Linked DNA regions of Oreochromis niloticus. The protein of the gene in region 1 interacts with the protein of each later gene in a biochemical or structural test. Links are inferred from orthologs where the notes say so. Each region holds a gene or a part of one and is shown on either strand. Other genes may lie near its edges.

What was found.
Region 2: the proteins of araf (region 1) and gna12a form a complex in vitro, tested with the Homo sapiens proteins (2 studies listed by BioGRID). The link is inferred for Oreochromis niloticus from reciprocal best matches to the Homo sapiens genes ARAF and GNA12.

Annotation. Positions count from the first base shown.
Region 1 is NC_031977.2:3,349,376-3,356,296, forward strand, and holds the start of araf (serine/threonine-protein kinase A-Raf), read left to right. Parts: upstream 1-3,895; 5' UTR 3,896-3,987; intron 3,988-5,515; 5' UTR 5,516-5,640; coding exon 5,641-5,751; intron 5,752-6,921. Other genes in the region: U3 small nucleolar ribonucleoprotein IMP4, read left to right, coding at 1,181-1,313, 1,806-1,960, 2,051-2,145, 2,229-2,302, 2,678-2,790. UniProt on the Homo sapiens protein: Involved in the transduction of mitogenic signals from the cell membrane to the nucleus. May also regulate the TOR signaling cascade. Phosphorylates PFKFB2.
Region 2 is NC_031971.2:13,352,423-13,359,578, reverse strand, and holds the start of gna12a (guanine nucleotide-binding protein subunit alpha-12a), read right to left. Parts: upstream 3,022-7,156; 5' UTR 2,536-3,021; coding exon 2,218-2,535; intron 1-2,217. UniProt on the Homo sapiens protein: Guanine nucleotide-binding proteins (G proteins) are involved as modulators or transducers in various transmembrane signaling systems. Activates effector molecule RhoA by binding and activating RhoGEFs (ARHGEF12/LARG).

The sequences.
Region 1 (6,921 bases):
AATAATAAAGTATAAAGAGAAACAGGAACTCAATAGTGTGGATGCCTTTGAGGGCATCCACACAAATAAATTCTAACAACAGCTTATCAAGCTTAAATGTGCTGTTGTTGTTAAGCTGCTGGTTTCCTTTTTCTGGTGCAAAGTGGGCCAAAAACAAACAAGGAGTCGCGACAGAAAAGCTGATCAGCTGATCATTGATCAGTTTCATGATTGAAGTAGCAGCAGCAGAGGGAGGGAGAGGGAAGAGGCAGTCGCTCCATATATCGGTTGTTAAGCTTAACGTGGGAATGCTTTACAAACATTCAGAGATGAACTTACACCCTTACTTCTCTCTGGGATAACTTTCTCGGAGATGAAATGCCGGTTTGGTAGCAAGGCTCCAAATGCTCAACCAGACCGCCGACAGGTCTCGCACGCCACAGCCGCTCTATCACGTGACGCATACTGCTCCGACGTGCTAAGGTTATGAGCTGAGTTACGCCATGTCACAAGTTTTGTGAGGTGCTTTCGTGATATTTAATGGATCAGATTACATTTTTTATTTCTCTCCGATATCCGATCCAGTAATTTAGGTCAGTATCGGACCGATACCGATATGTAATATCGGATCGGTCCATCTCTAGTTTGTACATGCTCCAGATAGCTTTTCTTCAAATTCTTTAATTCTCACTCGCTTTTGCGCATGCGCAGGACGGGAACGTAAGCATTTTCATCCGCTTCAATGTGGACGCACAACACTGTGAAAACGACTGAAAACGCTAGTGTGGACGCGGAGCGTTTTCAGATGAAAATGCCGTTTTCAAATCTATCCGGGCTAGTGTGGACGTAGCCTTAGTGAGTTTGTGATCTGTGCAGATGTGTGACTTTTTACACTTTGTCACTGACATGCACACACCTCTTCTGTGCTGCTTTTCCTAATTTGGCCACATATTGCATGCCTTGCTTTAGTTCTGAGTTTTTCTTGAGGCTTGTGGTCGGTGGTAAACTCTTCTGTCTTCTGAAATGTTTGCTCTCTTTTAGCGACACAAATACACAGTGATGGTGTATAAGGCACTGCCCTAGCTATTGAGAACAAACTGGGGTTCAGATTTTATATATTTTTAAAAAAGCAATGTAGACCATGAACATTAAAAATTGAGTTGAGAATAATACATGCAGCCCATCTTGTATGTGATTTCAGGAGGTAAAGTTGATGTTCCCTGGGGCCCAGCGAATGAACAGAGGAAATCATGAGATCCCTGCATTGGTACGAGCCTGCAAAGCTAACAGTGTTACTGACCTCGTCATCGTGCATGAGACAAGAGGACAGCCAGGTATACTCGCTTTATTCACTTATTCATTTAGCTACAAAGTCCACCCTCATTAACCCCACACTCAGTCATTTTGTTCTACAGGCAGGCCTGAAATATGACAGAAATGTTCAGTTCAGTAGAGCTTTAATGGTTACTCCCACTCAGCTTTCATGGGGTAAAGAGTTAAAGGACTATGTAGTCTTGTGTTCTGTATGCACAACATCCACCAACAGTGCTAAAACTGGTTGGTGGTTTCAGACCACATTGTACAGCTTGTTCATACATCCATTGCACATGTGCATCGCTGTTTTTTTTTCCTCCTAGCTGCCCTGTAGTCTTCACATTAGGTCAACACTAGAGAAACAAACACTGTTTCTTTACCAGTATGAAAACTCTACACTTTTAAATTTCATAATGGAGTGTTTTGGGTTTTTTTTTTTTAACTCTCAGTATTGACCATAATATTTGTTATTTTGCTTAGTTGGTTTTTTTTTTGTTCTTATATATTTACAGATGGCCTGGTGGTGTGTCATTTGCCATTTGGCCCAACAGCTTATTTCACTCTTTACAACGTGGTAATGAGGCACGATGTTCCCGACATAGGCACCATGTCTGAGGCCTACCCCCACCTCATTTTTCACAACTTCACCTCACGGCTCGGCAAGAGGGTGAGTGAGTGAGTGCTGGACAGCACATGCCTTGGATATTCTTTTTCACCACTTGTTTGTGTGTACAACTAATTAATTCTACTCACGCAGGTATCCAATATCCTCAAGTATCTTTTTCCAGTGCCAAAGGAGGACAGCAGGCGTGTGATCACATTCGCCAACCAAGAAGACTTCATCTCTTTTAGGTGAGCATCAAAAGTGAAAATGTCATATAAACAAAATGCTATTTGGGTTAAGGAGTAAGATGTGATGCATTTATTTTTAACAGACATCACACCTATAAGAAAACAGACCACAAGAACATAGAGCTGACGGAAGTAGGGCCTAGGTTTGAAATGAAATGTAAGTATGGAAAGTTACCGCTGTTCAGAGACTGAATTAACCATTGTTGACGTGGTTATATCTTCTCTGGAAATTCTTTGTTTTTCCATCTGTCACTACTTGATCCATATCAGAAATCTGATATGGAAGATTTGTTTTTGGAAGTTTAAAAATGTATAGTGAAAATATGTAGCTTCAATGCTTAATATAAATCATTGTGAACATTGTATACTAATGTGCAACACCAGGAAGAAAAAAGATTTATTTATAAGTGATTGGAAGTAAGAGCATTCAGGGGAAACTCCAGTTGTAGAAAGAATGGATTACTATCCTCTGCTCTGTACAAATTTTCTTTGGGCTCGTTAAATATTAACACCACATCCTCTTTCTATTTAGTGTATATGATCAAACTAGGCACCCTGGAGAACGAGGGCACCGCAGATGTGGAGTGGCGTCACCATGCATATACACACACAGCCAAGAAAAGAAGATTCCTTAGCATTGAATAGGAACTGAGTCATCGTCTGGAATTATAAAATAATATGTGATTTTTGTTAAAGGAGCGTAACGAGGGATGACAAGTCCAAGTGTAGTCAACAGCTCTGGATGTCTACAGTGATGAGGAATAGGACAGCTGAGCTCAAGTAGATTGAGCCTTGTTTTTTATGACAACCCTATTTGTAGGGTTATATATACAGTATAAAGCATTGCATTCTATATGGTTATTCTAACTTTTATGCTGTTTTGTAATAAAGAGTTTACTTGATCTGCAATTGAGTGTCTGTCTTTTTTTTTTCTTCTTTTTTTTAAAATATATATATATTTTTACACCAATCTGCCTTCTTCTTTCGGGTCTTTGTCTTCTGCTCCTGGCTGACATTCTTTGTCCAACATATCTGCCGTCACTCTGTAAATGTCCAAAATATCTCAGCCTTGCTTCTCTAACTTTGTCTTCCAAACGCTCAGCCTGAGCTGCCCCTCAGGCTGTACTCCTTTCTAATCTTATCCACTCTGATCATTCCAATGAAAACCTTTGCATCCTCGACCCACCTCCAGCTGGGCCTGCTGTCTGTCTTGCCTCTGCCTTTCCTCAATTCCTCTTTTTGATGTCCGAAGTCGTTCTGCAGACTGCTACCTCAACTACATTCTCCCCTGCCACTACAGTCTCCTGTCTCTTTCAGATTAAACCATAAAATGTATTCCACCTGTGTATGCCTTTCTCCACTCTTTTGTCACCCTTTGTGCCTCTCTCTTCTTAAAGTAATGTTTCACCACAGAGATTTTTATCCTTTTTTCAGTACCAATTTGCCAAAATGACACATCCGCAAATACGTGTTAAGTGTCTGAACAGTGCACTAGTATGCATTTATACTTGTGTCAGTAGAACTAGTACAATCTTGTAGCAGTTTTTAAAATTAATTAATTTACTCGTGATCAAAATATAATTACAAAACAGATGAACATTTGTCATTTCCACCGGTTTTAACGCTGAACAATAATCACAGGTGTATATACTCTTGCTGTAGTATACATGTATCGTTACACAGCAGCTCCCACCGTTTGGATTGCAGCTTCTATCCAATGAAAGAACGCGCCTACAAAAGTTGACCAATGAGCATAGAGCATTTATGGAGTTTTTCCGCTTTCCCCTGAAGTTCTTGACAGATTCGCCTCCAGATTGCGAGAATTCAAGATGGCCGTTACAGGTACGAGTTTAACTTTTTATTTATCCCAACTGTTTCAGAACACCGAGACGAAAGGAGATTTTGCTGTTACCGTAAGCACTACATAGCAAAATCTGGACCGTCCTGTGTTGAGCATGTCAAAGAAATTATTCGCTGCATATCTGAAAAGAGACTAAGTAGGCACCAGCCTGACGCCGTGGTAAAACCCCTAAGTTTGCTAACCTTAGCAGGCTGGGACTAGCGTTAAAGCTTTTAACTGTAAACTGCGCTAGTGACTGAAGCAGCCACATAATCTCTCCCGTTCCAACTAATGCTAATGCTTAGCTATGCTAGTTTGCTAGCTGGTTGAGCGAAGAGGAATTTCCGAAAACTATGATTCCTTTGCTTTGTAGGAATTATGTTTGCATTATATCGCTTCGCACCTCCTTACTACAAATTACCTTGAAAGACAGTCAGCTAGTTAGCCGGAGACGATTAACTCGCGCCCCAAGAGGAACATGGCTTCCCCAAACTCGAAATGTCATTTTACAAGGCAGTCAAACCATGCTAGGCTACCGGGCTAATATGAGCTAGCGTTAGCATCTTTCGACTGTTAAGCAAATGTGCAACTTTGTTTGTCAGCGGTTTGTTTCAGTGTTAATTCAAAGCTCGCCAGGTCTCAAGTATGAGCTACAACGTTTAGAAAAAGTTAGTTCTTGCTCTTGTAGGCAACTTTGCGAACACCTTAGTTGTTGGTGCCACTGGATTACAAGCTAACCGGTATATGAGACAGTGTTGTATCACCACAATTCAAAACTCAGGAAAAAGCTTTCGCGAGGTTTTAGTGTTTGGGTTAATCAAACAACTGTTGTTTTCAACAACACTTTAAATTCAAAGTATGTGATTTTTCCCGAACTTTAAACTTTTTACTAGCGTGTTGTATAGTAGTTGAGACAGAAAATATCACTCCCTCTTACTCATTTAATTGATTTTTATCCAAAAGAAATGGAAAAAGAGGGTGAAGACGAGTGCCAGGGGAGATTCGTGACAGAAAGACTGGAGCAAGATTGAAAGGTGTTTACAAGGTGGTAGTGAGAGCTGCTATAATGTATAGTTTGGAGACGTTAACATTTTCATTAGCAGTGACTATGATGGACAAAATTAGAAATGAGTGCATCCAAGAGACCCCTCAGGTTGAGCGGTTTGAAGACAAAGTTGGCCAAGGCTGAGATGATTTGGACATGTGCAGAGGAGGGATGGTGAACACAGGATGTTGAAGATGGAGCTTCTAGGCAAGGAGAAAAAAGAGGAAGGTTTGGGGATGTTGTGAAGGAGAGGGATACAGAGGGTTCGTGTGATAGACGAGGATGCTAGGGAATGAGGTTTATTGGAGGCAGATTTTCTGCTATGCGACCCCTAAAGAGAGCTGTCAAAAATTTATTTATAGTATTCTTTTAACATTAATTACCAATTAATGATATTAATGTTTATATAAGTATTTAAAATCTGCGCATTATCAATTTTATCATACCTATGTGCACTTTTTCATATTCTGTTTGTGTTTATGTAGGTTCTAGGTAAAGGACAAACTCCTCTGGACCCCACTGTGCATGAAGCTCTCCTGAGGCTTTGGTGTCCAAGTACTGTGTCTTCCCTTCCCCCCTGCCCTCCCCCAATTCCCTCCTGCCTCTCACCATGTCCTCCACCTCCTCCTCCTACTCCTCCTCAGGGGAGACCAGTCCAGAGGATCCACCCCGAGGTGGAGGAACCATCCGAGTCTACCTCCCCAACAAACAGAGGACAGTGGTGAGATGCTTTGCTCCATGTTTGTCTTGACCAATGACATTTTTTTATATTAAACATTGTAACTATAAACAGTGCCTTGTTTGATAGAAAACAATTGACATTTAACACTTCTGTAGGAGAGAGGAAAAAATCTTCCATCACTGTTGGCTGTAACTGTAATTGCACCGAGTTTGAAATCTTTCAGAATGTGCTAATGAGTAAGCTAGTGGACAGTTGGTATCGGGTTTCTCAGATGGTGTCTGCCACCATCGTCATTTAATTTGACTTGTAATTCCTGTTAGATTTCAAGTTTTCATACACTGAAGCGTAGCTGTTGCATAGTCCTGTCACAATGTCAGTGTTAAATTTAGTGAATAGGGGCAGCAGTGTAGAGGACACTGTATTCATGGCATTATCCAACATTCTCTGTAAAATGGGATTCATGTAGGAGCATTCTCCTTTTAAATCCTCAGTGTTTACAGGTGAGTTTTACTAGCTGTACAGATCTTTCCAAAGCAGATCAAACTGAGCTTTTTCCTTCTCTGCTGGACCTTTTTTGTAAAAAGAATGAGCACACGTGCTAAATCTGTGTAGTATTAGCAGACATTATAAGGGAGAGACATGACACTCAGTCCCGAATAGAAATGTAAGGAAGAACTGAGTAACTGTGAAGAGGTTGGTTATTGAGCCCCTGCCTCCAAACCAGCCACAAAATGAGAGAACCTATTGGCCAATTGTGATGTGCTAACATGAGCACACAGCTGACGTTTGACAGTTCCACATGTGTGGTGGCAAGGGTATGTCACTACATATTATTGTAGCAGACAAGTAGGAAGGTGCTTTCTTACTTTTTGAGATAATATGAAGTGCTGTGTTGTTATTTTTTTAAAATGTAAATAAATGGACTTATTCTTATATAGCGCTTTTCTACTCTCACGGAGTACTCAAAGCGCTCTATAATTTGGTTATCCCAATGAAGAAAAACTAAGGTGTTGATTGTGTTGGCTCTGTCGACCAAGCAGTTAATGCCATGATGATGTGTAAATTGAAGTTGTATTTATTTTTTTTAAATGACGTTTGGTTGGTGATTCAGTACATGTTTTTTATCTTCAGGTGACTATTGAAATAAAAGGTTTTATGGAGAGGTTCATTTAGATGGGGTCTTCAGCCTAAGTTAGCGCCCAGATGTGT
Region 2 (7,156 bases), on another chromosome or scaffold:
AGTCAAAAACGACTCGGTGATCATTTACTTTCTAGTTAAGGCTAACTTAGATCAGAGGGGTTTTTTTGTTTGTTTCACTTCAGTGTGTGAGGAACATATGGTTCACCTCTGACAATGGTTAAACCACAGCTCTATCCACTGCTTGATGAGATAATTACTCAGACCGCACCTGAGCTCCACCTCTCCGCTGTTTATTTCTGCAGGCCTAATTGTGCAGCACACCTGTGCATTCTCTTTCAGCTTTATCCGCCCTTCTTTCCTTCCTTTCCCACTTTGCTCTCTCGCTCCTTATCGATAGGTTCCCATAAAACAGGGGGTTCCCCACTACACCTGGTAGGTGACACTGATCTTCCACCAACAACCGCATCTAGCAAACGATTGGCTGTTTTCCCTTTGTGATGTGGGAAATCCAAACAGCGGCGTCCAAACTCAAAGAAGGCACATCATGTCAGGAGCACGACCGGGAATGTGCCGTATTCTTTTTTTAACATTCACGGGAACTGTCAGCGTGACGTCGGTGAGGTGTCTGATCATGGTGCACGCCATATTATTCACACTACATTGATTTGAAGGCCAAAAATCCAACGCGATCTTCATCCGATATTCAAACGGATCAACAGATTTGGCCTCTTGTGACTTTTTCGTCTTCTTCAAAATGAAATTTAGGTCGGAGGCTTACTGCTTCGACATGTTTGGAAAGGATCCAGTGTTGGGATGATAGCCATTTACAGCATTTGCTTTTATTTGTAAAGTGCGGTTAAGCTGGGATTGCTTCAAAATGTCCTCGTTTTCCAACACCAAATTATCCAGATATGATTTTAATGCCCATTAATGCCCATTAATTCAATAATTCACTGATGATAAATTAGTTATTATTGTTATTGTATCATCTACATAGAGGCTCAAAGGCCTGTTTCCAGCAGCCATCAGTCCTTCTTCAGTGGCACATTATGTCGCCCAGTGAACGTTTATCACGTTACAGGGCTGATTGATCATCGGTAAAACCTTTTTCCAATTATGTTAGCACAGCTTGTGCTGATTAAAGAAGCCATAAACGTCGAGTATGCGCGAGCATCACACAATTTGCCTGCATGAACCTCCAATAAACTCCAGATTTTACAACCACGTGTGCTACTCTCTTAAGCAAACAGCACACTAAAAAGGAGCGTGAATCTGCAACTGAGCAAGAGTGCATCACTTCTCAACCAGAAGCTTTTTTTTGTTCTCGCAGTGGTGAGGTCACTCCAGGATTGTGGCCTTCTGTGCAGAGTTGCAAAGAAAAAGTCACATCCAAAAAGATGGGGAAAAGAGTAGACACTGAACAGAGGAATAAAACAGAAACGATTAATCATTAATGAAAATAACTTCCACTTACTACCCTAATACTAACATTCGCTCTTTATATACTTCAGATGACGAATGACCGCAGCGCTGGTGAGGGAATTACAGATGTTTTAAGCGGGGTAATAGCTGGTAGTTTTGGCCTGGACTATCAGCTCCTACACATCGCGCATTGTGTGTGTTTTCTGGAGTTTGGCTGCTGGTAAAGTGTGGGTGTGTGGGAAGATTGTGTTCTTGATCTGGCCCGAGGCAGGACGGTCACTGTATACTTGTGTTTGGGGGAGGGTACTGAATACTGTCTTGTCTGTGCAGAAGTGCAGGCTCTTATCATCCTTGTCTGGGCTGTGTGGCACTCAGGGCGGATGTGCTCATCCCTCAGGAATAGTCTGGTATTGTTAGCTGGTGAAGGAGGCCCAGCCATGACAGCAAACAAAGGGACAGGACGCACACACACACACACACACACACACACACACACACACACACACATAGACTCACTTCAGGATAAAAATATGCACTATGTCAACAGACCTCTGTGTGTGTTTAAATAAGTGTGTGAACCTTAGTCACTAATGGCCCAGGGCTGCAGATATAAATTGTTCCCATCATCTTGATTTTCTTCAGAAAAGGTTTTGCCTGACTGTCTTAAAAAATGCAAATCAATCAGATTTATTATAAAAGCGAAGACAAAAGCAACTAATTTAAAAATCTGAATAGTTAGAGCCACAGTGACCTAAAGTGTCAATTACTTGTGAAAACTTTCAAAATGCCCCCTCACTGTTGTCCTTCTCTTATAAAACACGCTTTGGATGTTTAACAAACACGGCAAACATTAGATATGTGGAGGGTGAAGGCCCCCTCGAGCCTCGTCTTTACCTTCAGTATATTCTCATAGATTGTGTCCCGGAAATCCAGAAGTGCCTTCTGATCAAACTCCTGCCCGTTAATGATGCGCATCTGTTTGAGGAATGTGGACTTTCCGCTCTCCCCGGCCCCGAGCAGGAGGATCTTCACCAGTCGCCGAATGGCTCTCCTCTCCCGGGCGATCATCGCGTCTATCTCCCGACTCCTGCGCCTCGCCTCCCGCTCTTGCGCCGCGTCTCTCTCCCGGCTTCTCTCCTTGCTGCCGCCGGGGTCCCGGCTGGCCTCGGCCGGGAGCAGACAGCGGCTCAGGGTGCGGACCACTCCCGACATGGCGAGTCGTGGGAAAAGTTTACCGAAACTCCAGTGGGAAAATGTTCATTATAGGATTGTGACCCCCCACTCCCGGGATGGAAATGGTCCGACTACAAAGTTCACGGATAAACACGATAAAGACGCGTAAAAAAATAAAGTCTACATTTAGTTTGAGAAGCCGTTATCTAGTCTTCAACCGGCAGACAGTCCGTGTCCATCTTGGTTAGACCTCGCCATCCACAGAAATCACTCTGGATACAGAAACAAAGCCAGAAAGCAACAAAAGAAAGTTTAAACGCTTAAATGTTAGAGGCCAGAAAACAAAAACAGAAAGTTGACATGGAGTCCGTATGTCCATCCAAAGCGCAACAACTGTAACAACGCTGAGGCTGTGGTATCTGACTCCGTGGGACAGCTATCCAAACTATCCAAACACAGCCAGCGGTTTGTGAACTTGGAAGCTCCTGCGGGCGGCGCTGGGACGGCCAGACTGCTGAGGGGGGGGCGCCGCTACTGATGATGCCCGACAGGGGGCGTTAGCAGACGGAAGGAAATACATATAGAAGGAAAGCAGAAACAATTAGCGCTGCTCGTGATGTTTTCTCCTGCTGTTCGTGTGTGTGTGTGCGTCATCACTGGGAAATGTGGTCCTGCTCGGTTTGAGCACTTTTACAGCTCTGTTTGTGGATGGTTTATTGTCAGCGTCACACAGACTTTACATGTCGTCACAAAAGTTTACAGGCCAAGGTCAAAGATACCTGTGGCCCATTAGCACTGAGTAAAGTGGGGCACCCAAGGGGCTATTGGCTCGTGCACTTTATACCCCTGTTGCACACCCTGTTTAATTTTTAAGAGTGTATGAAGCAGGAGGTACAAAAGTCCACTTTACCTTCGTGGCATAGCTGATGCTGTTTGTGAGTGTCGGTCTGCAGGCATTAGTGTAGCAAAAATAGGAGACAGAGGCAGTTTGAGTACTAGATCAGGGGTGTCAAACATAAGGCATGGGGGCCAGAATCAGCCCACCAAAGGCTCCAATCTGGCTTGCTGGGCGACTTTGGCAAATTAAATTTCGGACATTTATCTTTGTTTTCATCATTTTTGCAGCTTTTCTCCTGAAGTCCTCACCAGTGGAAATTCATACTACACTGAAGTAAATAAGTAACAGGTAAAGAATTAAATGACAGAAAGTTAATGTTTTTTCACTGCCAGACAGTCTGGGCTCTCTGTCATTTTACATGTTTGTTTTTCAGAATTTAAGCCGAAGAGTTGTGCTGACAGACGTCTTTCATTTACTGCTGAAGCATTTCTGTATCAAGTAGAAAAACTGCTCTTCTTTTTCTTCAATTAAAATATCTCTAGGATTAAATGTGTAGTTAAATTTCTTTACACTGACAAACAGGTGAGTTTCACTGGTCCAGCCCACTTAAGAACAAAGTGGGTCGTAAGTGGCTCACGATGTAAAATAACATTGCAACACTGCAAGCTACCTTCACAAAAAGGACACTGAATGCTGCACTAAGTATTGAGTACTCATGTTAACATGTAATGAGGTATTAATGATACTGAATACTCTTGAGTCGGAGTGTTGCCAAGGAATACTGTGGCTTGTGTGACTGCACACACCAAGATGATCTGCAGTTTTATACAGCTACACATTTTCTCTTTTAAAATGGTCCCAAATCCTGAAAGAAAGTCACACTGGCTAATCAAAATGTTTAAAATGATTGAAAAAAATCACAATAAAACTATAAAGTTCTTGCTGCATCCACATTTTAAATGAAACAATTAAGTTTAGTGCATTAGTTTGCAGTAGTCTCATGATTTTTCTGAGCTTATGCAGCTTAGATCCATCTCAAGATATTCAGACGATTTTCTTTAGTTGAATTAGTCCAATCAGATTTCCGATTCGTGGTCTGTAATTTGTCAGTTATAGCTCAGACCAGAAATCGGTCTTTACTGACACTGATTTTTATCCATATTGCTGCAGTGCATCATAAAGCTCATGATTTCAGCTTTTCCATTTCCAACAATTTATTTTGTTTTACTTTCACGTCTTTAAGAAGCTCACAGTTTTTACAATTTTGATCTAAATATTTTCCCAAGAGCCTCGAAATCTGACCATGTGTTTAGTGATCAATGGAATTTCAAACAAACACAGCAAGCAGACAAACCTTGCATTTTTCTATATTGTGTGTAATTGAGTTGGACACAATCCACCTACTGGATATTACCAATTTAACTTCTTACTGTATGTGTAAATCAGGCCATCCCTCTATTTTCTTTACTTCTTATTCTTTTTAGGGTTACAGGATGAGAGGTGTGTGGCTTACCCCAGCTGTCATGGAGTGAGAGGACAGGTTGCCAGTCCACCAAAGGACTCATTCATGCTCACATTCGCATGCACAGCTAATTGAGAATCACTAGTTAACCTAACATGCATGACAAGGTGCTGGCCAGACAGTGGATTCAAACTCAAGACCTGCTGCACCAGACCCTGCTGCCCCTAAACAGATTAACAGATTTTGCCTCATTTAAACACATCAAACCACAATATTTGAGTAGCACCCAAGAGTTAGGGTCCCCTGTTCCCTTTATGCTCTCAGAGACATGGGGAGAACATGCAGACTGCACACAACATCTCCTCTGACTTTTCTGTGTGGAACTGTGTGGGTACTCTGGTTTCCTTCCATAGTGCAAAGAGTGCTTGTTAGACTTATTGGTGATTCTGAATTGGCCGAAGGTGTGAGTGTGAATGGTTATCTGCCTGCGACAGACTGACAAGCTCCCCAGGGTGTACCCATGACAGCTGGAATATGCGCCAGCCCACCATGACCCTGAATTGGATGAGTGGATGAAAATGGGTGGAAATTAAAATACATCTGCAAGCCTGACTACACTGGAAAACTGAAAAAAGAGGAGGTATGACTCTGGCACTGTGTTGTTATATAATAATTTAAATCAAAATGTTGTTGCGATATGTCAAATCAGAGTTAAAGCACCATTATATGTTGAAAAATCAAACAAGATGTGTAAATACAACACAAACTAGTTTAAATGTTAAACTAATTAGTCTACAGCTTAACCTGTGCAAACGGATGTAGTCCAAATCTGTGCCATTTACTGGGAGAGAGTGAAGTAATGAAGAATGAAGTCTGATGTGCCGGCATGCAGAGAAGACTGGGGCTACAAAGTGTAGTTTCCAGCAAATTTGTGTAAATATGTGAGCGAGTGAAACTCACACTGAAACAAGCTCAGTTTAATAAAAGTAGTTACAGAGTAGTTACAAGACAGCCTGTCTTTGTCTTCAACACACTTCCTCGGGCTGCATGCCTTCGCCTCATTCACTCTCTCCACTCTTTCACTTCTTCTCTGTTGAGCAAGCCAAAGCGTAGCATCCATGCCTGGACCAGCCAGGCCAAGCCTCTCGCTCAGCCAAACCAACAGGAGACCCTCTGCTCCACAGTGTCCCTGCCAGCTTGTCTGAGTGTAATCATCCACGGGATCCAGGTTGTTTCAGGGCTAGTTTCACTACAAGAATAATCTCTCTCACACACACGCCAGTTGGGTCTGCGGACCTCCAGCACCGTTGGAGACGTCTTTCTGCCCACCAACTGTCCGCCGTTACCAAGACGGTGATGTGAGTCAAAAGGAAGTGGACTCAGCCGAAACCAGCCAGCTGGACGAAGCAGCAAACGCGGAGGTGGGGGCGGGCTGCGAGGAGGAGTGAGGTCCAACAGAGAGAGTCCATTTGGACGAGCTGATAGTGTTCGCAGCCACAGTTTAAATTTGATTTCATTTGTGTTGTTTTAATTTGGACTGGCATCTCCTCATCCAAATCTTACTGGGACACAGTATCATGGTTTTACAGCCCATAAAGCATCATCCATTCCCTCCTATGAAACATTTTACTTGGCTGACTTCAAAGCAAATCCATCTTTATTTATATAGTTTGTAAAGATTTAAGGAAATCCAAAAATGTGCTCAGTCTTTACTCATTTCAGATGCCTTCAAAGTTTCAGCTGAAACTCAGTTAGATGTTGAAATAGACACAGGCAGGCGTTTGCTGACATAACTGAGTGATTATTACAAATTGAATATTACACTTAAAATTGTAAAAATGTAATGAAATTGAGGTTGTGCAGCAGGCAAAAGCGTCGTTAGTTCAACACACTGATATCAGTAAACAGAAGACATTGGTTCACATTGCAGTTTTGTCAAGTCAAGTCAGTTTACCATATTTGCATGTAAAATTATATTATAGTTTATAAGCACATTGCAGGACAATACATTTTAACTTGCAGTTCCTCAAGTGGCCACTTGAAGCAGACTCTAAAAGGGAGTCTAGCCTCATTGACTCCTATGTTAAAATGTGCAGGTTTAAAGCATTAAAAAGCACATTTAAAGCACATTGGCCTCTATGGAAAGTTTACCCTCTCGTAACAACAAATTCTTTAATAACTCATCTACCTGGATGATTTAGTTAGGGGTGTAGTCATGTAGTCAGATGAATGGAGCCAATTTGAGTCTGCTAAGCCTGAGCTGTGCATGTGCAGTTGGAGCCTTTTGGAATTTCTTTTTTAATAAATTTCAAACAAGGAAAGATCCCGGTTCAGTTTTGGGAAGAGAAATAAACCTCATT